Neodiprion lecontei: one gene and its partners. Each later gene encodes a partner of the first gene's protein in a complex. Links are inferred from orthologs where the notes say so. Each region holds a gene or a part of one and is shown in the gene's direction. Other genes may lie near its edges.

The links. The genes of interacting proteins can lie anywhere in the genome.
Region 2: THO complex subunit 4 (region 1) and SAP domain-containing ribonucleoprotein share a complex: the UniProt entries of both Homo sapiens proteins name them as parts of the transcription/export (TREX) complex. The link is inferred for Neodiprion lecontei from reciprocal best matches to the Homo sapiens genes ALYREF and SARNP.
Region 3: THO complex subunit 4 (region 1) and THO complex subunit 1 share a complex: the UniProt entries of both Homo sapiens proteins name them as parts of the transcription/export (TREX) complex. The link is inferred for Neodiprion lecontei from reciprocal best matches to the Homo sapiens genes ALYREF and THOC1.

What each region holds. Positions count from the first base shown.
Region 1 is NC_060261.1:38,210,639-38,220,924, reverse strand, and holds THO complex subunit 4, read left to right. Parts: upstream 1-6,417; 5' UTR 6,418-6,583; coding exon 6,584-6,787; intron 6,788-7,955; coding exon 7,956-8,093; intron 8,094-8,351; coding exon 8,352-8,499; intron 8,500-8,931; coding exon 8,932-9,072; intron 9,073-9,250; coding exon 9,251-9,369; 3' UTR 9,370-9,786; downstream 9,787-10,286. Other genes in the region: endonuclease III-like protein 1, read right to left, coding at 1-459; endonuclease III-like protein 1, read right to left, coding at 1,206-1,604, 1,822-2,367. UniProt on the Homo sapiens protein: Functions as an mRNA export adapter; component of the transcription/export (TREX) complex which is thought to couple mRNA transcription, processing and nuclear export, and specifically associates with spliced mRNA and not with unspliced pre-mRNA.
Region 2 is NC_060263.1:36,075,015-36,086,848, reverse strand, and holds SAP domain-containing ribonucleoprotein, read left to right. Parts: upstream 1-4,156; 5' UTR 4,157-4,343; coding exon 4,344-4,394; intron 4,395-4,845; coding exon 4,846-4,942; intron 4,943-5,058; coding exon 5,059-5,120; intron 5,121-5,298; coding exon 5,299-5,529; intron 5,530-5,696; coding exon 5,697-5,825; intron 5,826-5,918; coding exon 5,919-5,990; intron 5,991-6,074; coding exon 6,075-6,170; 3' UTR 6,171-6,870; coding exon of another isoform or gene 6,871-7,026; 3' UTR 7,027-7,274; coding exon of another isoform or gene 7,275-7,458; 3' UTR 7,459-7,689; downstream 7,690-11,834. Other genes in the region: male-specific lethal 1 homolog, read right to left, coding at 113-203, 392-610, 693-1,456, 1,909-2,361; formylglycine-generating enzyme, read right to left, coding at 6,871-7,026, 7,275-7,458, 7,701-7,875, 7,971-8,514; solute carrier family 35 member B1, read left to right, coding at 8,969-9,364, 9,735-10,313. UniProt on the Homo sapiens protein: Binds both single-stranded and double-stranded DNA with higher affinity for the single-stranded form. Specifically binds to scaffold/matrix attachment region DNA. Also binds single-stranded RNA. Enhances RNA unwinding activity of DDX39A.
Region 3 is NC_060261.1:27,607,786-27,618,557, forward strand, and holds the start of THO complex subunit 1, read left to right. Parts: upstream 1-4,127; 5' UTR 4,128-4,342; exon of another isoform or gene 4,343-4,849; coding exon of another isoform or gene 4,850-5,067; intron 5,068-5,807; coding exon of another isoform or gene 5,808-5,998; intron 5,999-7,432; coding exon of another isoform or gene 7,433-7,665; exon of another isoform or gene 7,666-7,688; intron 7,689-9,385; exon of another isoform or gene 9,386-10,772. Other genes in the region: mitochondrial cardiolipin hydrolase, read right to left, coding at 4,850-5,067, 5,808-5,998, 7,433-7,665. UniProt on the Homo sapiens protein: Component of the THO subcomplex of the TREX complex which is thought to couple mRNA transcription, processing and nuclear export, and which specifically associates with spliced mRNA and not with unspliced pre-mRNA.

The sequences.
Region 1 (10,286 bases):
TGTACAACCATGATCTCTGAGTCTATTCATCGCTGCATGAGTTATTTCTTGCTTGGTTTGGCTGCTCAGCATCGTACCAATCAGAGTTTGGAACCTGAGAGTAGCATTTGGCTGAGGGCCGTCGTGGCGTTCTATTTCGTCACCAGGAGCCGTGATATTTTTCCGCATTTCCTGAATGTTTGCTAAAATAACACGCCAATCTTTCGGTTCCCATCCGCCGCTGGTTGACGTTTTTTTACTTTCTGTTGTTGGGGATATTTTCATTTTTTTCCCGTGCAAATTTTCGTATTCGACCTTAATCGGAAGCCGCTTTTTTACCGCGGCTTTTACCATTTCTGCTCCTTTTACACCGTCTGGTGAACGTTCGGACGTTGGATTTAATATTTCACCGACTTTCTTTTTCATCGCCCTAGTGTACCTAGGCGACGCTAAGATGTTTAATTTCGAATTCACGCTCATTTTTAGTCTTGTTATTAAAATTGAGGTTATGACGGCGTTTTAAATATTACCGTTGACGCTCGCACGCCCATTTGGAATGCTCGTATATTTGAGCGACGGTGATTTGAGTAATGGATACAAGGGCCTGAGGGCCATTCGAATATTTCACATGTTATATAGAACGGGGGGAGGGGGGGGGGGGGGGGGCAATCAATGGTATGGCTACAAACCTTTGTTGAATTACAAGGTCCGGAGAAGGCCTAGGGAGGGATGGTAAGATACCGGTAAAACAAGGGACGAATTATTGAAACTGTACCGCATTTTGGACAATTACTTTTTTACCTGGAATAATTTGATAAAGGACTTGGAGTTTTTTTGTTCTAATACAAAGGAATGAGCTCAGCACAGTACAGTCGATCCTATATTTATAAAAATATACCGTATATAACATGCACGCCTATTGCATCAGTTTCTTGATTTGTACCATTTGTACACCATATTTTAAACCGACTCATGCTAATCTGAATACACGTCACGGTATAATTTTCAGGTTGGCAGTAAATTTTAATTACCTGGTATATCATGCAACAAAAAGAAGTGTTAGAAAACTTTGCCACGCATCTCATAAATCTAGCTTTTTTCAAAGATAAGCACAAGTAACACAAGAAGTGGAAGAAAAAAATTATAGAACAAGAAAACAATGTTCTTAAATATTCAAATATCTTAAACGAAACTTTTCAACACTTTTCACAACTCGACTCAAAGCCTTACTTTGCACCATTCTTCTTAGCGTAAGGACAAATGTTTTTGTTTAAACACTCCGAGCATTTTGGTCTTAAAGGGAGACAGGTTTCTTGACCGAATCCTACTAAAATGTAGTTTACTTCTACCCATTTGTCTTTAGGGAGCCATGATTCTAGCTGAACTCTAGTTTCTTCTGGTATTTTTGTTGGTTTACGCACCCAGCCAAGACGGTTGGATATACGATGCACATGTGTGTCTACTCCAATGCCGGAAACTTCACCCCATGCAATTTGCATGCAGAGATGACCCATTTTGGGCCCAACACCGGGAAGTTTGCATAAATCCTCTATCGTCTTTGGAATATCCCCAGCATACTGTGCCAGCAGGATGTCCGTTGTTTTTTTAATATATTCCACTTTTCGCTGAAATATTGAAACAAGGTCAATATCATTTTGTGAAAACCTTTTATTAGTATAAAGATCAGCACGAAGATATACGGTAAATCTCAGCTAGAGTAATATCGAAAGGTCTACTTGTTGCATTGGTGTCTCCAAATTATTGAATTTTTATACAGAGTTTTTTAAAGGCTGTGGGATACATTGGGGAAATGAAAAGATAGAGTATGATTTGCTTGCGTACCTTCCAAAAACTAACTGGATAAATTAGTTTTCCCAATATTTCATTGTCTGTGAGTTTGATGTTTGCAGGTGTACAGCCGTGGCTCTTGAGTTTCTCCATTGCTGCATGAGTTACTTGATCCTTAGTTTGGCTGCTGAGCATGAGTGCGATCAAAATCTGAAACCTGGCATCAGAGGCAGTAGCATTTGGATCGCTGCATTTGTGGCATCCCATTTCATCCACAGGAGCAGTACCATGTTTGCGCATCTCATAAATATTTGTTAGGATAGATTTCCAGTGTTCTGGTTCCCATTCATCATTGATCGGAGGTTCTGCCCTCTTTGTTTTTGGTAATTTTTTCGGTTTCGCCTCAGGTGGATTCTCGTACTCTACCTTAATCGGTGGCCGCTTCTTAGAGCCAGCTTTCGCAGGTTCTGATTTTTTCACATTATAGGGAAAATATTCTGACACGTTTGTTGTCTGGTTGAATATTTCACCAATCTTTTTTTTCATCGACCTAGTGTACCTAGGTGAAGCTAAATTAGCGAGCTTTAACTTGTTGTTCATTTTGAAATTTCTTTTCGTACAGCTTAAGCTTGTTTTCTGGGGTAACCAACTAAAATCTCAAATTATTTTGACACACAGGAGACGCCAAACTATCTACGCTGCAATTGGATCATCATTGAAAACAACAAAGGTAAATCTAATAGCCCATTTACGTCAAATATTTTCTATGAAAAATTCACAGCAATCGCAGATTAATAACAATACGATGATGGAAAGCCTGATCGATTTAGAAATTTTTCAGTCTCATCTCATGACACAATTCCTCACATATAAAAATTTAATTTGCAAGTTGCTGATATCGAATCGTGTTTACACTTTCAAATTTCGCCGAAACACAACTGAAGCTTCCCTTGATCTATTTCTGACACATGTTCTAGTGGTTCGAATACGTCGGGAAAATTCATAGACCAACTAAACATGCTAGAAGTACTCACGTAGTCGAGTAATTCTAGGGATCAATTCTATTTCACTTTTCACATTTCTCACTATCCAAGCATTATGATTGGATGACTCAAATTTGCAAACTAATCAGAATGTTTGCATGGCGGGAAACGTGAAAAATGAAATTACGGAATCGATTCCCTGAAGCATTGACTGAAGATACATAAAGACTGATAACCCTGGGTTAATTTTTGTGACAGTTTGCTGGGTCTGGCCGGGCTTGGATATATTACATTGACGTATCATTAACCAAGCTACTAACCACGCCGGTAAAAGAAGTTCTTCATAACCAACATTTATCGCGTGCAAGATGTTCCGAACATACCCTCGTCACCGTGAAATTGAAAAATTGAAAAAATCCCGTACATGAAATATCTACGCCGAAATTATACAACGGAAATATAAATGTCAATCAAATACATGAACGTGTATCGTTTATATTTACATGAATATATCAAATCTTTTACAGGCGCCAATAGCATCACTAGGATACTCAATTTATTTTTTCAGAGTTTTTTAAGTAGTAACTTTGAGCTGCAAATATTTTGGAAGAATTTTGAAATACTTGATTTTTAATTCCAATTGTTTGAAAAATGTTCCAACAAACTAATTCAATTTAGAATTTTGGAAAATCTCGAAAAACTTAACTTCCAGAAGCTTAGATGGGCAAATACATGATATTGGAAACGGCTCAAGCCGCGACGGGTAATTAACTATAGCCCAAAATTCGCAAAGAAATTAAAACTATTTAATTCAGTCAACAGCAAATCGATCGCGTTGCTCAACTCGCTGTACCCAGTAAACCAAAGCGAATTGAAATGAATTGTGTCAGTCAAAAATGAAATAAAAACAAATTTAATAGAATCAACAGACCTGTGTGCCAATTCTTTTGAGTTCCAATTGTTTTGTTTTAATTCCGTTTTTAACATGCTCATTTCGTGTTGGTTTACTGGGTAAACACTTTTGGAGTTTTAGAATTTCAGCGAGGCTCTCGTGAGCTCATTGTCAGCCGCTACAGCAGGCTCAATGAAACTGAACACAGTCGTGACATACAATGTATGCATTTCCACAATGGATGCCAACGCTGACTAAAGATGAACCTATATTTTCCTCGCCGCTCTCTACAAGTACGTAGATCTATTCCACCTCTCACGAATATGCTTTTATTCCATACTCCAGCAAGCCAATTTCTCACTCATTCTCTATCAAGTTCAACTCCTTTTATTTTCTAAATTCTAATTACTCTGGAAGTAGCGATTCCAACATTCATCAAATCTCAGAATCAAGTTTTTACGAATAACAATTTCACACTCAACAGTGATTGATATCAAATTAAACTAGTTTTGGCCATCGATACTAATTCTTTTTTCGCCCGTCCATTCCTTGCATAGAAAAATAGAGAGTAGTAGTCACGTGTAATGACGCGTAGACGCCGGTCTGTCTAGTCGAAGGTCTAGTTCAAGCCGTGAGCTCGACAGCCGTTTCTCGGAACTAGTTCACTACCCATAAAACGCAAATCGATTGACGAATGTATTGAATTATTTGTTTATAAATTTATAAATACGACGGGATAAAAGTCGTTTTAACATAGAAAGTACAGACATTTATAGGCAAGCCAGTACATATTTAAATGTAGAAGTAAAGTACAATGGACGCTATAGGTTTATGGCTCTGCCGCAGGGCCGAAGGGGAAATAATTATCCGAAATGGCTAGCTGCTAATCGCACCCCTGCTGGTGTCGAAATCAAGAGCACTGCGCGGCGGGGAGTCTCTTTACGTGACCGGAAACATACACAAATTAAACGTTCTTCGGGGAAGGTCAATTATTTTTTATGATAGTAAAACCTTGAGCTTTCTGGTGCCGACTTTTCAGCTGGGCCCATCTCCCGCTGCGCTGCAGTGTGTCACCACCCACCGTGTAGGGCTCTCGTGATTGCCAATTAGCCATTTCGGACAATTTTCCGATCATCGGGCCCTGCGGCAGAGCCATATAACGTATTATATCTAGCGTCCATTGTACTTGCCTTGTCTATGATGTCTGTCTCGTGTACACAAAGCCATAGTTTTATAGTATACCCCAGCCGTATTGGATTACTTTTGTACGGAGGCCAGAATCCGTTATTTTTGGAACGATTTCCGCATTGGAATAAAACATGCTTAATTCGGCAACCTAAAGAAACGGGATCCATAATTGTGCTAATCGTTCCGTTTCTATTCTTTTTCAGTTGTCGGGCAAGCGAAGGTGTAAACATTCTTCCACTATACCATCTTCTAAATCCTCGTTGAATGCTACCAGTAATTTTTCTGCAGATTCTCTTATTTCCTTAATTTATAATATCTTCAGCCGTTCTAGAAAACTGAATTTTTCATGAAGCTCTGCATATACCAACTGCGCCATTACAATTCTGCACTGAGACTATCATCTATTACGTTAAATGTATTTATCCGAAAGTCATCTCGCCCACTTTCAGTACTTGGGCTTTCATCTATTCTGAGTTTTCTTTTCTTAATCCGCTTATTCTCCGTTTCATATTCTTGAACAGTCGATGTAGCCTTTACCATCTCTTCAAAGTGGTCGAAGTTATCTCTAATACTTCGGGCGAAATCAGTAAGCGAATGATATAATTCCACGACGGTTCCAATATCAATATTTACGCTCTGCAACTTCAAATTCACAAGGTTGAACCTTTTCAAAATCAAACCTCATAAGTTTGCAATAATGACTGCAAACTGCTCGGTCTCATCACTTGCGATACTTTTTAGAGCAGTGAAACTCCAACCCGCAAGCCGTGTTAAGGAACTTCGTTCCAAAAATGCATTTACAGACCCAATTTCTGCCGCCCCCTAAAAAATGCCGTTCTAGGTCCGAATCTATCGGCCCTATAGGTAAATTCGGCGCTGAGTATGAGTTATGTATTAAACATATCTACATAAATTACATAAGGTACAGCATATAGGAATAACTATACATCTTCATCCTTTGATTAATTTTTTCGACTATTTGTCCTATCGTTTGTATCAAGAAAAGGTTTTTAACGCTGTTAACAGTTAACCAGGTGTATGTTTATGGTGCATGCATCTATTTAGATAACATTATTTTTGTCTATCTGATGGAGTTGGATTAAAATTGCTGAATTTGGCTAAAATGAATTTGCATAGTTGAAAAGTATACGGCGTCCTTACGGGGTCATATAAGGATTTCAGTCTGTTCCTGTTCGTCATTCCATAGGAAAATAACATTTAATTCTGCATTATTTGGGTACACGCGGTGAGTCATTCGGTTTTTGTCGCCTTTACGTACCGACAGCTTGCCGGCTTCAGTTGCGCATGCAGGGAAGAGCGCAGATGGCGTTACTTGACGATAAATTAATCTCGTTCATTTTCGATTACAAAAATTCCCACAAGGCTATCAGTATTTATATACCTTCAGTTAACGCAAATGAAAAATTCCGCAAATTTTGATAGTGTTATTCGGAACTAAAACACATTATTATATTTTTATTTTACGAAAAATATTTATAGAGGAGTGGGGGGGCATACCTGGCCCTCTAGCGGCAGAGTTAGAAAGCTAACCAATCTGGTAAAAGGCCGGGCGGACGTCTACGGTTGATCAGTTTACGAACGTCCCTGCAGTTGTGTAGACGCGTCGCTCGTAAAAGCTCGTAGTAGTTTTCGACACTCTTCGCGGTCTTGATCGCCATCTTTGACATAACGGGGTGAGGTTGGTTTTGTGCGTACGAGTCCACTGTTAAAGCAAAGAATTTATTACGTACAAATGAAGATGGTAGACAAAATAGAAATGAGTCTGGATGACATTATCAAGCAGAACAAAGGTGGAAGAACCCGGGGCAGCGGACGTCGTGGACGCGGAACAGCTTCGCCGAGACGTGGTATCCGAGGTGCGTCGCGAGCCGGCGGTGGAGTGATGCGCGGCCGAAGCCGAGGAGGAATTGGCCGCTCAGCCGTTCCATACACCCGGGTAATTATTAATTTTCCATGCTCATACTCAGATCATTCCAGATATCCCAAGTTTTTCATAAATTTATATCCGAGACGAAGTTGCTTTTTTCTACAAACACTCATCGGGCATCATTCGCCTGTGTGTATCGATGCATATATGACCGCTAATTTCGGAACTGCACACATGCGGTTGTGTTCTTATTGCGGATATTATATCACGTCAATTTGTTTTATTTCTTTTTTGAATTTCACTTTTCCGTACTTCATTCATCGCTTCCAAAATTACAATTACGTTATTAAAAACAAAATTAGGAACTGCAAAATGCAGGAACGCTACACTCCCAACACCAAAAAATTCTAAATTGCGCCATTTTAATGAGCGCGCCTGATTAAACGTGGTATCAATAAAATTTTCACGTTTGACCTTTTCAGCTAGAAAATGCGTTTCACTTTTTGATAGTTCTCCCACGGTGTAATTTTCTTGTATTACTTCATTGGCATAATTCGATCGTTTGTGAATAATACGAATAAAATAATCTTGATACTGCAGTGTCTATATTGGTTTCCCATTTGTTTTTGGGTAGTCTAAAAAGAAGCATACAGTAATGGTTTTTTTTTTTTGTAAAATTCTACAAATATTCATTCACAGTCAAACATGAACAATCTATTATATATGTTTAAAATGCAAATAGTTTACTTTAACCAGTTATTTTACAGATGGTTGTAGTTTGACCTCGTTCACTTGTGTACTTCTAAACTTCTTTTAATTTTTTTGTTTCTCTTTTAAGATACCACTATTATCCACAATATATTTTTGTTTACATCAAAAAGAATTCCACAAGATGAGTTGATAAATGCTACTACGATGAATTTGTCAGTCGGAATGTTTTCACCCAGTTGAATAAACATCACGATTACATAGTTTTCTGTTTTTTGTGTTAAAAAATATACGAGTAATTGTAAAGAACAAGTAAAGTAAATGATATTCATAAGCTTCAATAAGTATGTATGTTCAACTGTTAAATTATATGTATGAACTTGTTCTGTTTTACCTGATAACACACAGAAACACACAAGTCTCGTGAAGGTCTATTTAGAATGAATTGAATATATTCGAACTTTGTTTAATTTAAGACTATTGAACCTCTCGTTCATCATAATAAGATTGGATTGTGTGTTAATTTTAGGGAGATGTGAACAGTGCTTGGAAACATGACATGTTTGATGGAGTGAAGAAAGTTGGACGAGGTGCAGTTGGTGGTACAGGCACAACCAAACTACTTGTTTCAAATTTAGATTTTGGGGTGTCCGATTCAGATATTCAGGTAAAATATTAATGCAATGTATATCTAATATTTTCCAGTCTATTCAACAACTTTTAGTTTCTTATCAAGAACATGTCTCTAATTTTATAGATGGTGATATTCATTAAAACCTAATTCTAATACTTAATTTGGGAGTTCAAGTTTTCTGAAAATTCAAATAACTTTTAAGTAGATCTCTAGTTGAAAACATGTAAACGAAATTTTTTGACAGTACTTTAATAATTAATTGAATTTTTTTTCATCTTAAATGACAACTAGGAATTATTCAGTGAGTTTGGCCCATTGAAATCAGCTGCTGTACACTATGACAGATCTGGTCGATCGCTTGGCTCAGCAGATGTTATATTTGAAAGAAGAGCAGATGCCATTAAAGCAATGAAACAGTACAATGGCGTGCCTCTTGATGGTAAGTTTTTTTTTTCCTCTTAATATTTCAAGTTCAATTACTATACAGTCAAAATATTGTGCGATTTTCATTAATGCAAAAGTAATAGTGGAGGATAAATTCTTTGTAGTAAAGTATTAATACAGTTTTTATGACACATGCATGAAAAATTCGCATTTTGAGGACTGTTTTCAAACTGTAGAATGGTACTTTACACTGCTGACTTCAGAACTGCAGTATAAAAAATTTTCATGTTGCACTGTAAAAAATATCGTATGGAGCTCGAGTGTAAATTGCTACTCGGTCCATCTAACGTTTGTGGCACGTCATACTTTCGGTATGTCGACGACCATCGAATCGTCTGTGCTGATAACATCTGTCTTACCGAACAACACTCAGTTCACGCCCATGCTACGCAAAATAACTACTTAATACTGACTATTCGGTCAACAGGTCGAGAGATGAATATTCAAGTAGCAACTTCAGAACTTCCAGTAACCTCATCTATCCGAGGAAGTAGACTCAGTGGTGGTAGCTTCGTACAAAGAGCCCAACCGCGCTTCAGAGGAGCTCGTGGAGCTAGTTCCAACCGAGGTACTTTACTGTTTACTTGTTACTCGTCTACCAATTATCTCAAAATAGTTGATGTATTAGAATTTAAGTTTCCCAGAAGAGCCCGTAATGTTAGTGTAGCGAATATTTTTTATATCATTAATACTTACCCACTTGCGAGTTTATTACGTCTAATTGGATGGATGTTTGTTTTCATTAGGTCGTGGAACCGGTGGTCGACGTGGTGGAACTAGAGGAGGTGGACGGACGCCAGCCAAAACTCCAACTGCAGAAGAGTTGGATGCAGAATTAGAAGCATACGTTAAGGAAGTGAAGTAACATAAGATAGCATAAAATTCTACTACATATATCTTCTTTCTCATTTAACGGTTCTTTTATTAATTGAAGAACGTAACAATCTCTTATTTCCAAATAAGTTAATAATCATGAAATTAATACGTGAGAGTAAAGAAAAAGATTTTTTTTTGATTGTCTCGGAATGAGTATTTTTTAATTATGTTTGACGTTCTACTACTCATAGAGTTTAGATACCTAATAACAACTCAAATGCAATATGAAAAAGCTGCAGAGTAAAATCGTACCGTGATTTTTGGCATCCGAGGTAAAAAAAATGTCCATCAGACATGGGAAAGAATACAAAGTTGTGACATAATATAAAGGCTGTATGAATTTTGTATGTAATACCGTGCGTGTGTGATCATAAACTGAAAAATACACTCAAATTCTCCTTCAAAAGTTGTTATTTATCAAAGTACGTCATGTGCTTATAGCCCTTAATAAGTATAAGTTGAAGGCAACACTGTAAAAATAACTTTAGCCTTATGTAAGTGGCGTTCCTATTATCATCATCCTCTTTAATAATAATCAAATTACGCAGATTTTAAGTGTAGCACATTTACAATAAAGTGGGTAATTGTTATAGAAACGTCTTAACAGTGTTGATAACGATATTATACAATACACACAACATTATAACGTTTAAAATGCTTGTAATCATTTGTAATTGTATCCAAGATGATGAGTTTTTTTCACCATAGTGAACTATTGTCGTTATCAAATAATGACATATGCAAGATTTTGAGAAGAAAAAAATATGAGGGAAAAAAACCACCGCAAATAATTGAGCTGCGATGTGTTAAGGCTGTGAACATATAATTCAGTCAGGTCATCAGTAACTAATTTCTTTCTCAATAATGGCCTGATATTACTGGGTGTCGACGTGTATCTCCAATACA
Region 2 (11,834 bases), on another chromosome or scaffold:
CAGGAATAACGCACTTCAGAGTTAAAAACAAATCATTAAGAAGACGTCGCTACAGCTATGTTTTAAAATAGTAATTAGATTAAAAACAAGTTCAGCCTGTCGCTGTGCCAGCTTATCTTCTAGAAGATTTTCTTCTACCTGTAGATCGTTTGGTGCGTCGATTCTTCGACCTCGCTGTATGTAGCCATGGTAAAGAGAATTCACTGTAATTCAAACAGTAAATGAACTTTAACAAGATAGTATATGCTTTAGGCCTGTTTTTTTGTTTTTCCACAGATTAACTTTCAGTCTGACTCTAGATGAATGATTAAAGTTAAGTCGTACAATCTAGGATCACTGCTGTTACTATATTTGAAATCAAAACTATTTCTAGCACTACAAGGAAACTTACGTTGGGGTAAAGGTGGGAATGGGCACACCAAACGCAGTAACTGGCAGTCGTGAGTCAACTTGAAGTCCCTGAATTTGCTCTGGTTCTGGCCACAATGTGCTTACTGCCTCTTCTGCCGGTAGCGTTGGGCATGGTCCGGTGTGGTTCGTATTATAACATGTTGCCTGATGATTTTGACGTTCTTGTCTTTGTTTTAGCTTCTCGATATGCCGTTGTTCCCTGCAAATCAAAATTGAATGTTTAAAAAAAAAAACTTGCCATTCGTATATAAATTCAAAGTAGGAAAATATTTGTCACTTACCTTATCCGTTGAAAGTCCCATCTCTTTCGACGCCTTTCATCATTTTCCAACTTGAGATGTCTTTTGTTAAATATTTCATCATCTAAGTTTTCTGTTCCCTCCATTGTGTAACAGCTGGTGTAAACTTTAACCCTCCAGTTTGGGACCTCCAGAGAAGCACTATTATCTGAAGGCACAGGTTCCGACAGACTTAACGTGTAGTTGGGCTCACCTATGGATGTAAAATAATGTTCTTCCGTTGTTAGAAAGGATTCCTTTTTAGTAATGGATTTTCCCTTTTTATCCGTCTTCTTAACATTCTCGTGAGTCACGCTCTTGTTGTCTGGTATCGTGGAAGTTGTGTCATTACTGACTGTCGACGAGCAGGATACACCTCTCTTGCGTTTTCCAATTGATGTTGTACTAGATTCGGACTTCCTTTTCTTCTTAATTTCCCAATCATGTCGAGAGTCGCTACTCGATTCTTGTCGAAAAGTTTCATGCTTGGATTCATTCTTGACATGATTTTCACTCGGCTCTTGTTTAACTGTAGTTATACCTCCGCTTGTATTCAAACGTATTTTAAAACTCTCGTTATATGCAGGACTGCTATTCTCGGACTCAGTATTCCTCTGATGATCACTAGTGGATGCCGTATTTGGTGAATTCAGACTGGTAGGAGAACAAGCCCCGGCGTGATCAGGTAATACAGAATTTTCAGTTACATCTGATCGTAGTTTTTGTAGATTGACTCGTCTATCCATCCGTTCCAAACGCAACTTCAGCTGAAATACACAAAATCAAGACGTGGTAGGAAATATTAGTTTTGAGCAGGAATGAGGACTTTCAAGCCTACAAAAGTTGAATTTTCAGTAGATTCAACAAAGTTGTTCAAATTTAGGTAGCCAAATATTCCGCGTGAAACGCTATCGGTACCGAGCGAGAGTACATTACCGACAGAGCAATGTCATCGGAAACGCGTCAGAGACGTGAATATTGTAATGTGTACAAATGTACGTAGCGGTTACAACGCCACCCAACGGCAGGTACATGAAGCATGACCTTGACGGTGAAGCGAGATTATTGAATGACATTTCAGCATGTGCGTGACAACTTTGTTGTCCAAGGCATGTTTAGCGACATGGAGCGTCACTTGTAGGGAAATAGCGATACGGTTATATCTCTGTAAATAAATACTGACACTTCAATTAGTACTAGTGAACGTCTGCTTGTATACCGTTTCATTCTCCTGCCTGAGAGCCGCTAATAGTTTATCCTTGGTAACGATTTGCTCGGATTGTTGTTGTATCAGGTCCAGATGTAAAAGTAGTAGTTCTTTGAGGTGCTTGACCTCGGTGAGGTCATGGTGACGAGCCTCGTTGCCGCGGAGGGGGCTGACACCGAGTGCCGATGTCGCCGGGGCACCGCCGTCTGTCATACTCGCGTACATGTGGTCGAAGTCGCAGGGGAAGCTTAATATGCCCGCCTTGCTATCCTCGGCAGCGGTTTGGAACTCGTTTTGCCTCACGTTAGTTGATAAATGTTCGCTCATTGCTGCAACCATGTTGTATGCCGCACGAGCCGCGGCCGCGTTAACTCCACTAGCCGTAGTTCCAGGTGCCGTAAGCAGTTCCCGAAAATCCACGCTCCCAGTGTTTTCACCATTTATTACTGGCGAGGTGTTTGACATTTTCCCTCCGTGACAACCTCGTTAAGAACTTTCCTGATCATTTGTGGCCGCAGTGAGCGTACCACGCGCCCAACCACACTCATTAAACAATCTTACGTAGACTCCGATGATCTTTTCACTCTACAAAATAGACAAACTCTCACGATATCACCCTCAATTTTAACCCTGGCTCGAGATGTTTACTGACAAAACTCTGCCGACGGCGTTCTCACAGTAGAGACACCAAGCGTACGCGGCTCGAAATACTCCAACGATTTCCCGCCATTGCAACCACGTGATTTCCGTACCCGTCAATCACGGCTGGCCCCGTTTATTTGAATTCATCCGACGAGATTCTTCCCGCTCTCCACGTTTACGAATAATCGTAACGAATGGACAACCTATTCGATGCATTAATCAAGCTGTTGGAAGCTCGGACGAAAAAAATACTCCGGATATGCCTTTCAATAGAAATTTTACAGCAAGGTAAATCTACAACTGCTGAGAAGGATGTTCACTGATAGCTTCGCATAGAGTGCAGCACATTCCAGATCATCAGTCTTTAGCGCGATGTTTTTTATTAATCAAATATGCCGTACTTTAATGAGTAATTATTAAAGTCATTACTATATACATATAAGACTCAATTACTACAATTCATGCGGAAATATTACGTTTACAAGACAGCTATATTATAATGAAATGCGAATTTCAATTCGATATCGATGCCGAGGAACGGTCTCAAGATACGTTCCGCTTGATCTGTGATTGTGGTTGTGAATTGGAGCAGCATTTTCGTTTATTTCGTTTGTCGCGTCACGTACATAAACCGTTGTCCTTTGAGACTGTGTCTCGTCTTAGCTCGCCAATTCCTAATGCGACGCCGCCGACCAGTGTGGATGTCGTGTGACATGGGTTCAGCTAAGGTTACGTAAAAAGCGTGCCGATGAAACGCTTTGTCGTAATTCTCGAGCGAATTTTTGGCGGCTTGTGTAAACATCATATTAATGTTATGTAGAACTTAGTTTATCAAAAAATATCAGAAAATTGACGTTCACCGTGTGGACGGATCTGCACCTGGCGTTGTATTATAACGGCAAGAGATTAAAGAGTTAATAAATAAATAAATCGGCACGACACTTGCGGTTGGAACTTTTATCGCCACAAATAGTTGTGGGTGTAATAATTTTCATTGACTGTCATCTCACTCCAAATTATAGACCAAATGATTTACTCTGTTCATCCGTGCCTTACGTGACTTTCATGTAGCAGTAAATCAGTGCTGTTTTGTGAATATAGCGAGTGAATTCGCAGGCACGATCAATGCAATACGTGCAACCTTAGTTGAAAATACATAATCATTAGAACTGATTCACTCTTTCGATTTTTCAATTCGATTTCCGTTCGAGATATTGCTTTTCGAATAACTTTTGCAATTACCAATGATGAAATATCTATCGCAGATTTCAAATCTCAAATTATCTTATTTACATTGCTGAGAGATGGCCTAAATTTATTTTTCAATCAACCGCCAGATGCGCCAGAGAAAAGCCCGACGTTTCTAAATGTTACAGTGTTTTTGTTTTGAGCTTCCGAAAAACATTGATTTTGGCAATTAGAATCTTCGTAACAGACCCGGTACTACAAGGAAAATAGATTTCACTTGAAAAACTGAAACGAGGTTAATTTCCGTTGGTCAGTATGGAGTACGGCATTGCCATACGGAAATTCAGTCAAGCCGGAAAGCGCGCCACCGATAAAACAGGGCTGAATCAGTGTGGCTAAATGCCACTGGTCGAGACTGGCGGGATCAGCGTGACTATATTTCGCCATTGTTCCTCCGGTCTTTCGTATCCTCTTACATTTCACAGTTACGAACTGTGATTACGAATTTCGGTTGGCTTGCTCTGTTGCGTTTACCTGTACCAAAACTCTGTGATAAATGAGATAAAATACGAAAAGTTTTGCCGCTTGTGAAAATTAGTAATTAAAAATAATTCATTATGGCTGATTCTTCTTACGAGAAAGGATTAACCGAGTTATCCAAGATGAAGGTATGCGCATACATTAGCACTGTTTCATGCGGCGATTGTGTATTTAATATTTACGTTAACCTCAACGAATCCAACCATCTTATTGCACCCTGAATGATTATATTTTGGAGAAAGTTTACTTTGAGTTCTGTCATTCGAATAGTAATATGTTTTAACTTTCATATATGAAACCATCGTCATCCCGAAAGTTGTCAAATTGCTGAACACGTTTTGCTTCGAAGGTGCACTAATCAAACTTGAAAAATTCTAGTAATTCAAGTCTCAAAGATCTTTTACTGTAAAAAAGGGTACTGTTATCCTTTATGGATTGAACTGTGTCAGGTTTTATTTATAACGTTGATTATAGATTCTTCGAAATTTGAATACAATTTTCCAACCTCTCGATAGTTGAGAGGTACTTAATTATAGCAGGGAATAATTTTGATGCATCAATTGATGACATTCATTACAGGTAGCAGATTTAAAGTTGGAGTTGAAGCAACGAGGACTGCCCACGACTGGAAATAAAACCGAGCTGGTAGAACGACTTCAATTAGCAATGCATGGAGGTAGGATTATGAAAATGCAAACCATAATCGTTAGCTTAATTACAGGATACCCAGGATTAATGAATTGCATTAAATAATACTCAATATTTGACAGCCACCGATATTTTGTTTCACAGATTCGACTTTATCACTTGACGAGACTACGGATGAAATATTAGATGAGGATGCTGTTCTCGGAGTAAGTTATATTTTTACGTCCTTTTAGCTTTCAGAAATATTGATAATATTCCGAATATAAGACTCTGAAATGTATTGGTTTATTATGTTTCTTCACTAAAATAATAATGCATTACCAGGTCTGAATCAAGTTTGTATATCTGTTCCCGTTTTTATAAATGAATGATATGTACCTGTAGGATGAAGAGATAGAGGAACTTTCTAGTAAACCCGACTCACAGGAAGTGGGCAAAAAGCGAAAATTGTCAACAGAAAGTAACTCAGCGAATTCCAAAAAAATAGTACTGAATCGTAATCCAATTCTCGAAGATATCCAAAGTGAGCTAACTGGAAAAGAGAATAATAATAAATCAGATACAAGTGAACCTGAAAAGAAGGTTATCAAACTTTCTCAACTGGGCGTTAAGGAGGTAAAAATGATAACTACACGTTTTTTGTGATTGTCACATACCTGCATTTTCAACTGAAATTCACAGCTTCTAAATATCTTCATCTATTGCACTTGTTAAAAAATAATTAATTTTGCAAATTTTATACTCCATCCATCCACCATCTGATAATTATCGTTTTTGAACAGAGACTGGAAATGAGAGCTAAGAAATTTGGTGTCCCTCTATCTGAGTCTGCAAAGAAAGAAGCTAGGTCGGCCAGGTTTAATTCAAACACGCAGAATAGTAAGTCAGCAGCATCTATAAACGTTCCAGTGGTAAGTTTTGAACAAAATCAGCTTGACAGTTAGATTCGTGGAACACTTATAACTTGGGGATGATATTAAAATCTCGTGAATAATTAATTTCAGCATACGACCTTTGAGGTGCTGAAAAAGAGAGCTGAAAGGTTCGGCGCTTCGGTTTCTAGTGTGATGGAAAAAGTATGTGTCAGTTTTTTAATCAATGCAGTGTATCAGTTACTGTGAAATGCCTTTAAAATGAATCATATAATTTATTGTTTATAGGCTGAAATGGAGTCAAGAATAGAAAAGAGGCGAGCGAGATTTGGTGAGGTTAAGCCGATTGAAAAACCCATAAAAAAAATTAAGATAGTAAAATGATACTCGATATCATACACTCAAACAATACTTTAGGTTAAGGTTATTTTAAGAAATTCTTTTTCAATGAAACCAATAGTCAAACAGTCATTAAAAAGTAGACGAAATTTTCAATATTCAATATGGATCGAAAATATTTACATTTTTTGATTAATCAATTTCTAATAGAGTATTTTACTTATAAATTAAAAAAAAATAAAAACATCAAATCAAATTATAGCATTGGTAATTTTTTCATTGCCAAACATTATTGATGTATAATTCCAAAATTATGGAATCTCTGAAAATAAATTCTAGTAATAGGAAATGAAGTCCAGAGGCTCCTATAAAATCAAAATAACCTGCTGATCGCTGTCACAAAAATGTGCTTGCGTTGAATGAAACATTGATAATAGATTGGGAATTTCTGAAAAATTTATTACCATTTTTCCATACGTACAGTTTACCTGAGGTTACAATCACAATCTACTTAAATCTGTATCTCGAGCTCCAAAAATCGTGTTCGTAATTTCTGAGGAATAATGTAAACCCTTCATATTTCGAAATGATTCTTTACACACGTATACTAAACGTCAAACATTATTCTGGAAGACTTGGACCTGGCTTAAAAATAGAATCAAAACTTTGATAAAAATTTATCCAATCATGCGTATGTGTACCAGTATTTACAAAATATTTTAACCTAAGTACAATTCAGATATTGCTAAATCGACATAGCACATCTGAAGCCGAGATTGCCAGCAGAAGTATCAGGTGTGTTTTGACTGCGCGCAGCGCACCTGTATCTGTAACAGTAACTCTCATGACACAGATATGAGCCTCCTTTTTTAACTTTGTCTGTACCACTTGACGGTCCGACCTACAAAATTTTGACTGATCATGAATTTGAGAAATTTAACTACAATTATTACATGGAATGTAGGTGCTTGGCATAAACTATTAAGAATACCAGTACTCGAAATTGTGTATCTTGACTTAGGACAATCATTTAGCAATAAATCATAGCTTTTTTGAGAGTTTTTTTCAATTGCAACATTCCTGTGTTAGAATAGAATTCATTTTTGCAAGGGTATTGGGTGTATGTTATCACAGGAAAGTTATACTTACAGGATTTTTTGCAGGTTTATCACTGTGTTCAGTTACCCACCAATCGGAAGTCCATTCCCAGACATTTCCAACCATATTATAAAGTCCGTAACCATTTGGTGGAAATTCTGTGATTGGTGCTGTCCCCACAAATCCATCTTCAGCACTATTATTGCTAGGAAAAACTCCTTGCCAAATGTTGGTCCTGCACGGAAAAAGTAAATTAAAATTCTATACTAGTAATAAGATTAAAGAAATAATTGATAAGTAACATGTTTCTTAACAGAATCATATAAATGTGTTGTGCGTATTTTGTCAAAAAAAAAAAGAAGAATAATCAAGCAATTGTCAATGATTTTTCATTTAAAAATGAATGTGCGTCGCCGAATTTGAGGATGTAATGAAATAAAAATTAATCGAACAATCGTAATTCCAATACTAGCTTACCTGTGTTGATTCTTTGGAGTGAGGCGGTTACCCCAAGGAAAAAGACGTTCAGTTACAAGTCCGCCTCTGCACGCAACTTCCCATTCAGATTCCGTAGGCAGTCGTTTGCCTCGCCATTTACAAAAAGCTGTGGCATCGTTCCAAGAGACGTGAATCACAGGATGGTCCATTCTGTCTGTCATAGAGAACGTGTTTAAGATTGTGATGATCGAAGCGCGTCTACTTCTCACCAATTTTCTTGGACTACCTATGTATAGAAGAAAACCTCACCCAGTATGTCGGAATCAGGACCTTCAGGATGACGCCAGTTACAGTCTTTGACCGGTAGCCACCAAGGTGCCTGAGCAACCGCCTCGTTTATCTTAGACTTTGTTTCCTCGCTCAATAATCCCTCAAACACAAAAGAATCCCCAAATTTTTCAGCCTCTGTTCGATGCCCCGTAGCCTTGGCAAACTCCTCGAAATCTCTGTTGCTAACTTCGTAAACATCAATGTAGAAATCGTCCAGAGTTACGTTTCGTCTTGGACCCTCACCGTCGGCCACGAATATCGGTTGGTTTGTACCGACGGCAAAGGTGCCCGAATTTATCATCGCCATTCCATCGTGAGCGTTGATTCTCTGTTCGTACTTATTCTCTTTGACAGTGCAAGCTTCACTCTCACCGGCGGAACAGAAACCTTCAGTTTTGCCGCTCTGATCATCGTTTGTTTTTCGATTCAATACTTTACCGCATTGACAATCCGTTCCCTCAGATTCTGCAGCCTTGATAAGGAAAGTATGGACGATTAAAACTGCTACAAACACGGCACGCATTTTCCAAAAACAATTGACTGACGTCAACAACCCTTTTTGACGCTGCGAATGGAAATCGTCGTCGCCGCTGTCGTTGACTGAAGATATATTCTTCAGTCAACGCCGCTGTCAATTGTTTTGGTACAAATTATCCTGAATCGATGGCTAACTAGTATTGGCCGCGTAGAATTTGGTGATCTACAAACTCGCGTTATCAATGGTTCGGACGCATTATCGTCGTGTCGCACGAAAAGAGGCGACACTTGGCGAAACGTCAGTTGAAGTTGAAACTGTAACCGCGCGTTGAGCAATAAGTGCGCGGTGCAATCGGGTTCAGTCGCGTGTGCAAAGCCGCAAGAAATAGTTAAAGTGGACGAGACGTGGACGTGTCCGGTATAACCTCGATGAGCATATGTCGCGGTTCTAATACCGTTTGGAATACATGTAGATATTGTTTGACAGAAACTGATCAATAATGACTGGTAGTCAGAAATCGTCGAAAATAAAGTTGCTCGTTTGTGCAGCTGGTATTTTCGTGTGTTACTTTTATTTCGGTGTTCTTCAAGAAAAAATAACCAGAGGACAGTACGGAGATGCCGACAAACCCGAAAAATTCACATTCGCGTTCGCATTGGTTTCTGTCCAATGTTTGCTCAACTACATGTTTGCCAAAGTTATACTATTGACTGTTATGAAACAAGGCGAAGACTCTACTCGTACAATTTATTATGCTGTCAGTTCGCTTACTTATCTACTCGCTATGGTTTGTAGTACTATGGCTTTGCAATTTGTCAGCTATCCTACTCAGGTTGTCGGCAAGGCTGGCAAGCCTATTCCTGTTATGATACTCGGTGTACTGCTCGGAAGGAAGGTGAGATTTTAACTTGTCGATTATTCAAACCTTTTACAGATTTTGCAATAGTTCTCTTACCTATTCATATCAGTATTACTCTGTCATGTTTAAAGCAACACGTCGATGCCCCATCAAAGTCTGTTATTTCTAGTCGATTAGATTAAAACTACTGTAAATATTCCTCTTGTCCACCAAGGTATTAATCAAGATTTTTTCAAAGCAAAAACATGATTCGTTCATAATTTTCTCAACAACATTCGCAATACTGTTTTATTCAAATTTAAGAGTGACTGGTCTGTGAGGTGAGATGATAAAAAATAATGATAATTCTTATCTCGAACCAAAGATGTGTCGTTCAACTAAAAATATGGTTAATTTTTCATTTAAGGTTTATCCATTGAGGAAATACCTATTCGTGTTACTGATCGTTGTGGGCGTTGCTCTCTTCATGTACAAAGACAATGTGGCAAATACCAAGCAGACCGAAAGCCAAATGGGCTTTGGAGAGTTTTTGCTGCTGCTGTCATTGACGATGGATGGACTGACTGGAGCGGTACAGGAAAGAATGCGAGCAGAGCACAAATCTAAATCTGGCCACATGATGCTGAACATGAATTTCTGGTCATTTATATTCAGTACTTCGGTTATCCTAGTGTCAGGAGAGCTTGTACAATTCTTGTCATTTATGCAGAGACATCCAAACTGCCTATGGCACATCGTTTCCTTCTCTTTAGCAGGAGCGTTTGGACAATTTTTCATATTCTTAACAGTGTCAGATTTCGGCCCTCTTCCATGTTCCGTTATGACTACTACTAGGAAATTCTTTACTGTACTAGGTTCTGTTTTATTATTTGGTAATAATTTATTACCCAGACAATGGCTGGCAACGATTACAGTCTTCTCAGGGTTATTCTTAGACGCCATGTACGGCAAGACTAAAGTACCATTAAAGGAAACTACTGAATGATTTTAATTATATTATCATAGTATGATAGATGAATTATGTTGGAGGTTCTGAATTTTTATTTAGTTCAGGTTCTTATGAGGCTGAAGTTAGTAAAATAATTGCAACGAAACGTCAGGGAAAAATATATATACTTAAAAATATATAATTATGATCACTTTGAAGGAGTCAGCTTTTCAAAATGAGAGTATGTTTTGTTTATCATGGTTTACTAAAATTCAACTTCATGGTGTAAAATAACAATTTTTCCTAAACATCGTTACAGTCTCGTTACCAACTTCACCTTTATACTTCCTTTAGGTACAATTGATAACGCGACGAAAAGGTGTCTAGAATAGATGAACATTATCAGCGAACAGAAATAAATTTATAAAGTTCGATCAGTGTTGGGCGTTTTTGTAATTAATTGGTTTCTAATAAAATTACAAATGTAATCTGTCGTTCCAAGAAAAATCGATACTAACTATTACGTTCGTAATTTTTAATTGAAATTTTCCTAGTTACAAATTACAATAGTCATTGGTAATTTTTTTCCTTCCAGTAAGAACCGTGTGTATATCTCATAATCAGTACGTATAAATTTTCAATTTGGAACATGATATAAGGAATTACTTGGATCACAATCTATATACGTATAGATTGTGAACTATGTATATATATATATATATATATATATATATATATATATATATATATATATATATATATATATATATATTTCACACAAAATATGCATAATACAGATTATACATCACAACGTTTAGTGCAATGCGCTCAAATTCATTTATGTATATGGCTTATACATATTTATTTGTACAGTACTTACGATTATAGCGTTGTTCCAACATTTCCAATTATCAAGTTTTTCCGATTAATGGTAAGAATACTCCTTTAAGAAAATTAGATGGCGACTATTTTTTACATACATATTTCGATCCGCAAACTATATGTATATAAAATTTTCTCTCAGCCAAATTTACTAAGAGCAAAAATAAAGAGAAATAAAATTGAAATGGGTATAAATATTATAAAAGTCTATCACTGCATATCTATACGCTAAATAGAACGTTACCTAACAACGGAATAATTGGTTTATTCGCATGTTGCATACAGGATTTTATTACCGACTTAACTGTGATTACTATTGACTTGAAAAGTGCTACTTTTTCCCCGCAAATGCAGGAACAAGTATCAGAGGGAATCATACGCTACTTTTGGCCCACTTTTCAGATCAGTAAAGTGGCCGTTGCGGTTGAGTCTGCAATAAATATGCTTTCGTTAATATTTTCTTATACATATAATACTTATATACGGTACATATAGTTATAAGATATATTGATAAATAAATGCCACAAAGAATGACGAGTGTTTAATTTCTGCAAAAACTGTTAATTGTATACTCATAAAATAATAATGTAGGTGACATCCGGCGAGCTAATTTCAGTACTACATTTTATCCAATTTTGGATATCAGATTCGTAATCAGCGTTCCCGAAAACCTAGGGAAAGTGGATTTTCTGTACA
Region 3 (10,772 bases), about 11 Mb from region 1:
CATCTGAACCGGGTTAAATTTTAAAGAATCTAAATCGACTTCCTTTTATTTTATCCACGGACATTCGCGATGGATTCGGAAATAATTTCATGTAATTTCATAATGTACGTCACACATGAGACATTCTAGACCATTTTCACCAGTTGGACATGGCCCTCCTTTTTTTTTTTTTTTTTTTTTAATACACAGTAGGGCGTCACAAATAAAACGCAAATCGCAAGGATCGGCATTTGTTTTAAATGAGTTTTTCTATAATTCTAGAATTTAAAATCATGTGAAACAAAACGACTACCACACATAACTGATTTCACTTGAATAGGTATACACAGTGAATTCTTTGTGAAAAACAAAAATGTTTAGCAAAGCAAAGACGAGCAAACCAATTCAATAACCTTCGTTTCTTGTACTTGTGAAGACATAATATTTCGATAAAAATCTTTCGAGCACATCACGTTAGTTCTGAACCAGCTCATAATTGCAGAACAGCGTTCCAAGTACAAATATTGCTTGCGAATTTCGTGTAGAGGATATTTTTTCAGGACTCCACAAAAAAAAAAATCTATTAAATTTTCTCGAAAATGTATTTGACACTTGTACGCACGAAAACAAAGCACGATTCAGAGAAATCAATTGTGCATGCGACACATTACAGTACCGTGATCTATTATAGGGGCGGATGAAACCACGTCGTAGAAATTCATAAAAGAATAACGGTTTCTGGTTTAGTTTGACTTTCGTAAACAGCATTGTAAAGACGTGGGGGAAAATCTTACGCAGCTTTGAATAGAAGCTCTTGACATTGATGAGGTTAGTGATCAGAATTTAGGCTACGATTAGGTGGGTTTAAGTCGTCAATATTTCAAACATAGCAAGAATAACTCTCGGTGATTTCGTTAACGCGGCGAGTCCGTTTCTCGTCTCGCTGCAACGGCCGGTTTTCTTTCTCTTTCTTCGTAACACCAAGTACTTTATGCTATGCAATGCATCGCGCAAGAACAGAGTCCAATTCCTGCTTAATTGCTTTTCAAGCTTGTTCAAAAGCCGTGAAGTTCAAGGGGCGTCGTATAACGTTCCGTAACAATGCGGAATGAAAATATTATAGTTTTACGTGAAATCGGTCCGAGCCTTGGCACGAACTCGAGCGATTAAGCTGGCGCACAAAGGCGGAGGGAGATCCCTAAGAATTCTGATTCGACAATAACTTGCGTTCTAACTCTCCGTAAGCGACATACCGGCCGTTTTACGTAGGTCGCGTGAATGCGTAGGTAATTTCGCGATTACCGACTCACGGCAGAGTCAAAAATACGAAAACAAAAACAGTCGAGAGAAATGCGTAAGCGGTCCTCGGATTCAATTATCCCTTTCAAAATCAATCATTTCGCCAATCTTATATCACAGCACAATGCCAAAGGACGTCGGGTGAAGGCCTGTGACGAAACGTTGGAGGGAGGCTCGATGCATCGATCGTCGGTATGACGTCACAGAGCGACTGCGTGCGTGAGGAGAGAGAGAGAGAGAGAGAGAGTCGGCCACAGTGAGGAAGGGATAGAGAAGGGAGACGGCCCGGGGAAAGTAGGGGACGAGCACCTGTGACGGTGTCGAGGTGGGGCGACTACGTCACAGACGAAAGCGCGCGGGTCGAAGGTCGAGATAACTCGGCATTGGGGAAGCATTGCAGTGGTTGTCAAGTTCGTTCTGCGTAGATACCTTCAGGGTGGCCACACTGATTGGTCATGGAAAAAACTGAAAAAATATCAGTTTTCTGTCAAGGGAATCGGAAATTGAGGTAACGAGTTTACTTTCTTTCGTCGAGAAAATATATTGGTTTATACTGGCTTTTTTGTGCATTATTTTATTTTTCAATTCGAATTGAATTTGAACCGAATATAGGAGTTAATAAGCTAACCGATTCAGGTTTTGGTAACTTACTAGAACGGGGAAAATTTTGGGGGGTTTTTTTTTGGAAGAATTTTGTGGCCACCCTGTGCGTTTGACTGATTCGACTGATCCTGCGATGGAATTATACGAAGATCTTTGAACGCAACATGAATCAGAAAACACAGTCGATGTTGGAAATGTGATACGCGTCATGACATGTGATATGTGATATGCCGAGACTAGGATACTTATAAGTAGTAAAACCATCTTAAGCCTCCGGGCAAACACTAGTCTTTTAGGGAACGGTCGTTTTGTAAGTATCAATTTTTATGAATAATACTTCGAAATTTCTGAGTTTGCCAACTTTTGGATAATGTAGTTAACACTCTGAGAAGAGGCCGTGAATTTTTTCCGATTTCTTGAAAGCCTGGAACATTTTGAAAAAGTGCACGGACAAAAGTATCTCTTTAACGTACTTTATCATCTCGTACAGTTGCATTTTCACAGCCTATGAAAAATATCAGGAAGTACAAAAAATAATACAGTAAGATCGTGTGATTGTGTGATTTTGTCATCATGTTTAACTAATGTAAAATCGTTTTCATGGCTTCGCGCTAGATTTACACATGGTAATTCATAAACTGAAAATGTAAACTAGCGATATTCTTTCCTACCACTTCGAATTATACAATTCGACAATTATGAGGATAAAATAGACGATCTGTAAATATCTGACCGTCTGAGTGGTAGAAACTTCACGAGAATGGGATTCAAAATACTATGCGAAGTAAGAAATACTCGAACGGTATTCTAGCTCTAGCGGTTACCGCTAGATATCGCGCCAATCTCGTAAGTGAAACTACTCGGCAGTAACTTATAGTTATAACAATTCTTGGAGACGAGATTTATTGTGTCCATCTATTTTTGAAGCATAGTCAAGGCAAAGATAGATACATTTCGATTTATCGTCTGTGTATACGTATGCATGCCTGATACTTGCGTCTACTAAGAAACGAAGACAAATTGCGAGGCAACGCGATCTGAATAATCCGTATTAGCATAAGTTGAACATACATCGTGCTTGCAAGCAATGTGAGTGAGTTCTGCGATACGGTGAAATTGAGGATCGCTTACTGGGGATGATGTCACAATCGTCATGGCAACTCCCACAAAAGGGTATTTGAGTCAAGGAAGAAAGCTCATCGTCGGTGTTTAATTACCGGTTTTCGTTTCCGTCTCTGAATTATTCATGGAGTCTCAATTCTACGTAATATTTTTGAAAGTCGTTTATGTGTTTGAAAATACAATGCAGACTCAATGAAGTTTTCATTTGTTGGGATATTCATTCAATTTCAAAGAATCTGCCAGTATAATAGTTGGGAATGTATGCCTGGACCAATATGTTTCGAAATAAATCATACGCAGTTCGTTTTTCTAATAATATAGACTCGGAGAAATTATAGCATGTACATTAAAGAAAAAGATGGAGAATGTTACGATGTGTAATTAAATAACTATGATATTTTGTAACATCGGATTTATGTTATGTTTGAATGAGTGAAGGATTTTTGGATTTTTCATTGACAGAAAAACTTTATTGAGAGGTATTGTAAAACAATTGCTGGAAAAATGTTGAGTTGGGATTTGAAAAAAAAAATGTATTGCACAAGTTTTTATTCATCATACTGTTTAATAACAATGATTCGACGTTTGGATCTTGTATACACACAGCATGTTGAAAATCATGGAAGTTTCATTCTTATTCTACACTGGAAAATTTGCTCGAAAGAGAACGTCAAGAAATCGTAATAAGAATAATAAACTTAATGAAAGTTAATAGCGTTAAAATAATTAATTGAGAAAATTAATTAGTCTTAAAAAATACAGCATTTCGCTCAAACAATCGATAGATATTTCGATCTTATTCAGGTGTTGGATATATTTACCTCACATTCGATGGCCGAACATTTTCAAAGTACACGAGTACAGCTAAAAAATTTTACGAACACAAGCTGTACAGTTAAAAAAATTCACTTACGCAATGCTGATTTTTTTCAACGGCTAAATATTGACGACTTCTTCGTGAGTATTTCTCTATTGGAAGACTATTCAATTACAATACTCAAACTTTGCACTGAGTTCTGTGTTATACAAGTTCAGATTGTGCATGTGTGCCAAATCAGCGCGGTGACATAGGTTAACAGCTAATTAATTCAACTAGTTATACTGAAGGTCAGGGGTATTTTTCAGATGAAAAGGTCAACGCATAAAGCCGCACGTCACGGCATCCTCATGCGTCACAGCGCAGACGCATGCATTAAAGCTCCATCACGACCGTACCTCAGAAGCATCATTCAGACGATAAATTACGATTCTGGATTCCTCGTGAATACTGAAAAAGGCGTCATCGCCATATCTGTATCGAGTTCGGACGAAGACCCTACTTCTGTGCTAGGCTGCATGGGTATGTACCGCAATATTTGATAGTTTGGTAGATTTTGTCGCAGAAATACAAAGAATTGTATTTCGAGTCAGGAAATTGCCAATTGATTGGTAAATCTATGCATTTCGTACGCCCATGCTCTTCTTTCAATTTTCATAATCCCTCGCACTGACTCTCCACAGTCTATGTATATTAATGTCTTGAACAACATTTCACTTACAATTATTTCTATGAGTATCGAATCGGAATCGAAATACGTTTAAATAACCTCCCTCGAAATATTTCCTGAATATTACTAATTTATTATCGTCAATAGCTACTCGGTGTATTCAAACGCGTAATGCACTTCAGATTAAAGCGGTCCATCAATCGTAAACGGCGGCTTCGTTCCCAGAAGGGAATATAGTCTCAAAACGACTAGGAACCAGTGGTGTAAAAGAATTGTTTAAACATATTCATCAAAGTGTTTTTTCAAATTATTCCATACTTCGTTGCGGTATACGTTTGAACCAAATGAGTTTATATTCATCAGTCTTCGCCTGTGGTGAGCAAAATCCACATTCTGTCGAATTCCGCAATGAACGGCTTGACTAGGGCGAGTTGATTCGAAACTATGACGTTGTCCCAGTTTCCGTGCATCGCTTGCATCGTCCAATTTGTACTCCCCGTCAAAATCAGCTTCCTATCAATTATCGCAAACTTGTGATGCATCAAGTATTCCGATTTCTTCATCCTCACTCGAATACCTGGCGATGAGGTTATACAAGAAACGATTAAATATCATTCGCTTGACCTTTATTTTGATTTTTGATTCAACTTTGTATAGCTGCTATTTACATGAAGAATTTCACAAATACTCATTGATTATACAGGTGAGAAATACTAGCTTTGCTTCCACTTTGAGATTTGAAATTTGAAAAACGGTCTATAATTGTGTGATTTTAGCGGGTATAAACGAAATTCTCGAGGTCCCTGTAAATTTCACGTTGTTAAACGACATGCATTAATCAACTCAAAAAACACATGTTTTCACGTTCAACGCACTTGTAATTGCACTTGAAACTTAAAACCCTGATTTCGTCACGACAGATTCTTTTTTCAGTACGTTGTTCGAATTTTCTTCGATTTTCGGTACTTGATTAATTTTTAAATTACAGAGTCTAATTCGGACGTGAATAGTTCTTGAGAAACTGTGTACCTAACGGCATAGAATATCTACGAAATTTCATCAATATCGTACAAACTATTTCGAATCAAGATATCACGTGAAGAGTGTCGAAAAACGTTGTTTCGAGTAAATTAATTGTGAATTTTACCGTATCAATTGCAAATACTAAAAGTTGACTTAGAAATTCTACGCGAAATGGTGACGAATCGCCTTACTTTCTGAGAAATCCTGTTATTCAAATTGTTTGGGAGTGATTTAGATAATGATACGCGTGCGATTTGAAGAGCCTGAATTGCTTTGAACTAAGTAAAATCTTACCTCGTTCTCGAAAATCTCTTATACGACGCTCACAGGCGGAATTTTCCGCCATTCCTCCATCGACGATAATTCTGACAACTACTCCGCGACAAAACACCTTGGCTATCGCTGCTGCTAGATCCTCACAGCTGAATAGATACATGCAAACATCGAGATTTTGCTGAGCAGATTCCAAATATGCGCATAGTTTCCTACAGCAGAAAGAATACGTATTTCACAAGTCGTATATATCGTAGCGGATCATTTACAGCAGACAGGCCGTGTCCGTACTAAAAGCAACATGACGACGTTGAAGCAAAGATTTCCAGGGTGGGTGTTTCGACGCTTCGAATTGAATAGATATCTTGTGATCTGTCTGTTACGAAATATGATGTTTGTCGGTAGCAGGGTAGGTTATAAAATCTACGAGATTGAAGTTAGCAACGTTATTGTAACGAAACGTTGAGAAATAATCACTATTTTATTACGGTTTGCTGAATTTCAAACAGCTGCGAAATTATCTCTGTGAAGTTGGTACCCCATTTTGGAAAAAGTAAGTTTTCGTTTTTACGAGTTCTGGATAGTGCTCAAATAGTTCTACAGTTCTATACCCATATGAGAAATACTTCTGGTTGTTTACCACCAATTGTAAGAAAATAATAAACAATAAAAAAAATAACAACAATGCTAGCACCCCACAATTAAAGTACGGCAATTTTTTCGAGTTCTAAGAAGATTTCAGAAATAGCTCGAGAACTCTTCGAATTCTGATTGAATCGGAAAAATTCATTCGAATGATTGACGGAACTCACGCTCGTCTATGCGAAACTCTCATCGGAACTTTGGGAATGGTTAAAATTAATTTTCGCTGTAAGTAATGCGCGTGGATATTTTGTTCAATATCTCGGTAACGAAACAAAATAAAAAAATTTGAATCGGCTGAAACTCTAGAATTCTGAAAAAAAAATGACTGGTTTTAAATAACGGAGTGCTAGCATTTTTGTTATTTTTTATTTTCTATTTTATTAGTGGTAAATAACCAGAACTATTTCTCATATAAGCATAGAACTGTAGAACAATTCGAATACCATCCAGAACTCGCAGCAAAAACTTATTTTTTCGAAAACGAAGTAATCAGCGAAGTTGGCACCCCATTTTTTGAAATTAATTTTTTGAACCCTAATTGACCGGAACTATTTTTGAAAATTATCCGGAACTTTAGAACTCTTTGAGAAGATTCAAGAACACTCGAAAATTTTTATTTTTTTTTTTCAAAAATGGGGAGCCTACCTCACAGAGGTTGCAAAATTGCGAAATAACGGGTTTTCATCAGCATGAGTCGTTACGATAACGTTACTAATTACAACATGATTAAAATCTTCAAAATTGCTCTTTGCATTTTGCACACGTTTCTTGCTCTTATTTTGTGTGAATACTCTTGTTTATCAAGAGATTATTAAACCGAGCGATTGATAGGAATGTTTGCGCTCTTTCAATTGGTTTTTCGACAAAATTAGACTGTCTTTTTCGGCTTTATTAAATGTGAAAGCCTGATCTCGAAATTAGTATGGCATCCAAGGTACATCGAACGTCTCTAAAAATCTTTTCATCGATATTCCTATTGCATTATTTCGATTGATTCTCACCTCAATTGTGTAACCGAACAGTTGGAACGGTCGCAAGGTGTTCTAGAGACGGCGTGCATGCGACAGTTGGATGATTCTTCAGAGAAAAAAAGAACCTCGTTGATGCTCTTTGAGGATATTTTACTTCGAGTTCTTTTATACAATTGCCATAATAGTTCTGTGGCCAAAACTCCCGTGAAAACTACGATCACCACCTTGTTGGAACGGCCAAAAATCCACATGTTCTTCATCATCGTGATTCCTGCACGAAATTATCCTATGAATCATGTTTCATTGGTGTGTACATATTTCAGCTTCAATTATTTTTAAAAGTACAATAGAATTTATGTGAAGGATTCGCATCAGAAACATCGAATTCAACATACGAAGCCCCAAAACTGTGTACCCCTATCAATTGATTCACGATTCACGTTTTCAAAGAGCCTCCCCATAAATTGCCCGTTTTGTAGCTCGCGTGAATTTTTCCGAAACAAGGGCGAAATGATACTTTACGATACCTCGATATTCACGAATAAATTCAAGCTCGAGTATACACAAGCTTACGGAGATACGGGGAAGTAAACTTTTCAAATTTCTATTTATTCGGTAATAGAGTTCCACAAAAAAAAAAAAAACATTCTCATGTATTTTTTGACAATACCCGTAGACCACTAAAATAATTCAATAAAGCAGAAAACATCCCCTAAAACAGGATGAAGCAGGTTCTTTCTGTACGTGTAAGTACATGTGTAGGTACGAATTAGTATTTGTTAAAAACATAGACACGTGTCATTCAGATTTATTTATAATATCATTTACATCTCATCAATTTCAGTGTTTTTTTTTTTTTTGCTGAAAAATATATCTACGGATTTTCTTCATCAAATCCGTAAGCACCATATTTCTAAATCCCTATTTCATTGCTTGAATTTCACATCAAAATACATTTTAAATTGTCAAAATCATCTTCGAAAAGTATTCCTGCTGTGGTTAAAATAAAAAATTGCGCGAAATATTGATCATTTCAGCAATTACACGACTGCTATCTACTTTTAGAATGAGTTGTTCCAAAAAAACTACATCGTAAATTTCTGTTCACCTTCTTTCGGTGAAAAATTTCAATTTTTCCTTTGGTCATCTTCATACTTGCTAGACATTAGGGGTGTGCGGGTATCCGAAAATTTGGATATTCGAGCTCGGGTTCAACTCCGGTTTTTTGGCAATCCCGAAATCTTCGGATAGTCCGAAAATTTTCGAGTACCCAACTCGAAAGTAATCCATTCTACCCGACCCGATCCGACCCGAAGAATTTCAGTACCCGCACACCTCTACTAGTCGATAATAAAATTATTTCACGATAATGTGCTAATAAAGCAGATATGAAAGAATTCGAGAGTATATTTTTCAGTGAGCCTCTAGTCTGACTTTTCGAGAATAAAATCTCCACGACTTACAATTCCAGACGGCTATGAAATTGTCGTTCAGATTGTCCGAGATTTCGGAAATGACACAAGTTCGAAATTTTTCAAAGTCTCTGTTGACTTTAAAATCCCGTTATTTTTGGAGAAGCGAAAACAGTCGTGAATAAAATTTTCGAAAACTCCGCACTTTTCGGCAAAACCGAAATTTTCGAGGTACTCGGAACTTTTTGGTGACTCGAGATTTTCGCGTACCCACAATTTTGTGGTAATCTGAAATTTTCGGGTACCCGTCCTCGATCCCAAACGCCCCTAAATATTTGCCTCATTTTGCATCACCTATTCAATTCCACGGATTGATAATTTGATATATTCTTTTCACATACTTATAAGCTTTATAACTTGGTTTTAAGTCATTATATTTTGCTTTAAATTTCGGTACGCATTGCATGCATATGATTTCTTTTGTCTTCTAAACACCTTGAGAAACATTCATTCTTGCTTATGTTAACCTTAAAGTCAATTAATATTAACGGCAGTCTGAATCCAAACTTACGTGCACGTACGTACCAGAAGGTCCACACCAGAGAACGAGTGGTATCCTTTCAAGATCGCAAGCTAACGGTCAAAGCATTTTCTCCGTCCTAATGCCTTTTATGGCTTCGACTATTCTTCCCACCAATACTTAAGAAAAAACTATTCAGCATTCAACGACAGTTCGTTAAAGACAAACCAGATGCCCGAAAATCACTTTATGATATTTTCGGACATGCAGGAATTGACGTGCACGTACAGCGTAATAAACCCGTACGGAATTCAGCAAGTACGGAAATTGCCCAAAATATCATCACAACATACGTAAATCTTCCGTATTGGTCCTCTTCCCATAAAAAAATTCAATTCCAAAAATTCCCATAAATGACCGAATCAGGAAGCACGTTAGAAAACCGCAAGCTAAAGAATGAACTCAGAAGAGCGTCGCAGTGTGGAAAAACAGCATAGTTCTTCAAAACCTTCTATTCGAGACAGGTTAAACAAAAATCTTTTAACAGAATAGTTCTGAAACGTCGTCTAACTAGAGCAGTTCATCGAAAACCTTTCAAGCAGTCAGTCCAAACCATCATTAGATCAGAGTGATTCACACAATCTCTTAGCATCAAGACAAGTTAAATAACTCTGAAGAAATTCCGTACTTTTCTTTTATTTGAATATCATTATTTTAATAATAACATTCAACCGCTATAACCTTTATCCAACTAAATTTGAATAAACTTAATCATTGTGTTTAATCTATTTTGTGTATCAATCGAATTAATTACCTTCAACGTGAGTAAATCAAACTGACAAATTTACCAAACTATCTCCGTACCCATTTTAGTATATTGACCGGCGCCATGTTTGGCCTTCGTGAATTATCCTTCTTTCTTTTGAAAACCCTTCCACAAAACCCCGTTTTAGATAACAGCTTTAAAGTGTAGGGATCGATTCTAAAGTGCTAGCGGACAATTATTAGCAAACATTTTATACATTTAGATACAGACAATAATTCAGCTGACGCAATCAGAGTAATCGTGCCTAAATATTGTCAATTCATATCATATCTAGTCATCGTCGATCACGCAGAGCCGTTCACAGCTCGAATCATCAAGATCAACGAAAGGTAAGTGAAAGCTTTTATTTTGAAAGCTCAACCAAAAGAGGAAAACTCCGCGTCCATCTCAGGTAAATCGTATTTAGGAATTTTTTCTTTGCATGAGCGTTAATTTATTGTGGCGAATTTTGGTTTTCCGTAAATAAATAATAGCAAATTGAAATCCAGCCCATAACACCCGACTAGACCCGACTCGGAAGAATTTCAGTAATGGCAGACCTCAATTAGGTATGTTTTTTTTTTTGTCCTCATCGCTCATGGCTATGCTCAGAAAATCGCTAGAGGGTCTTTT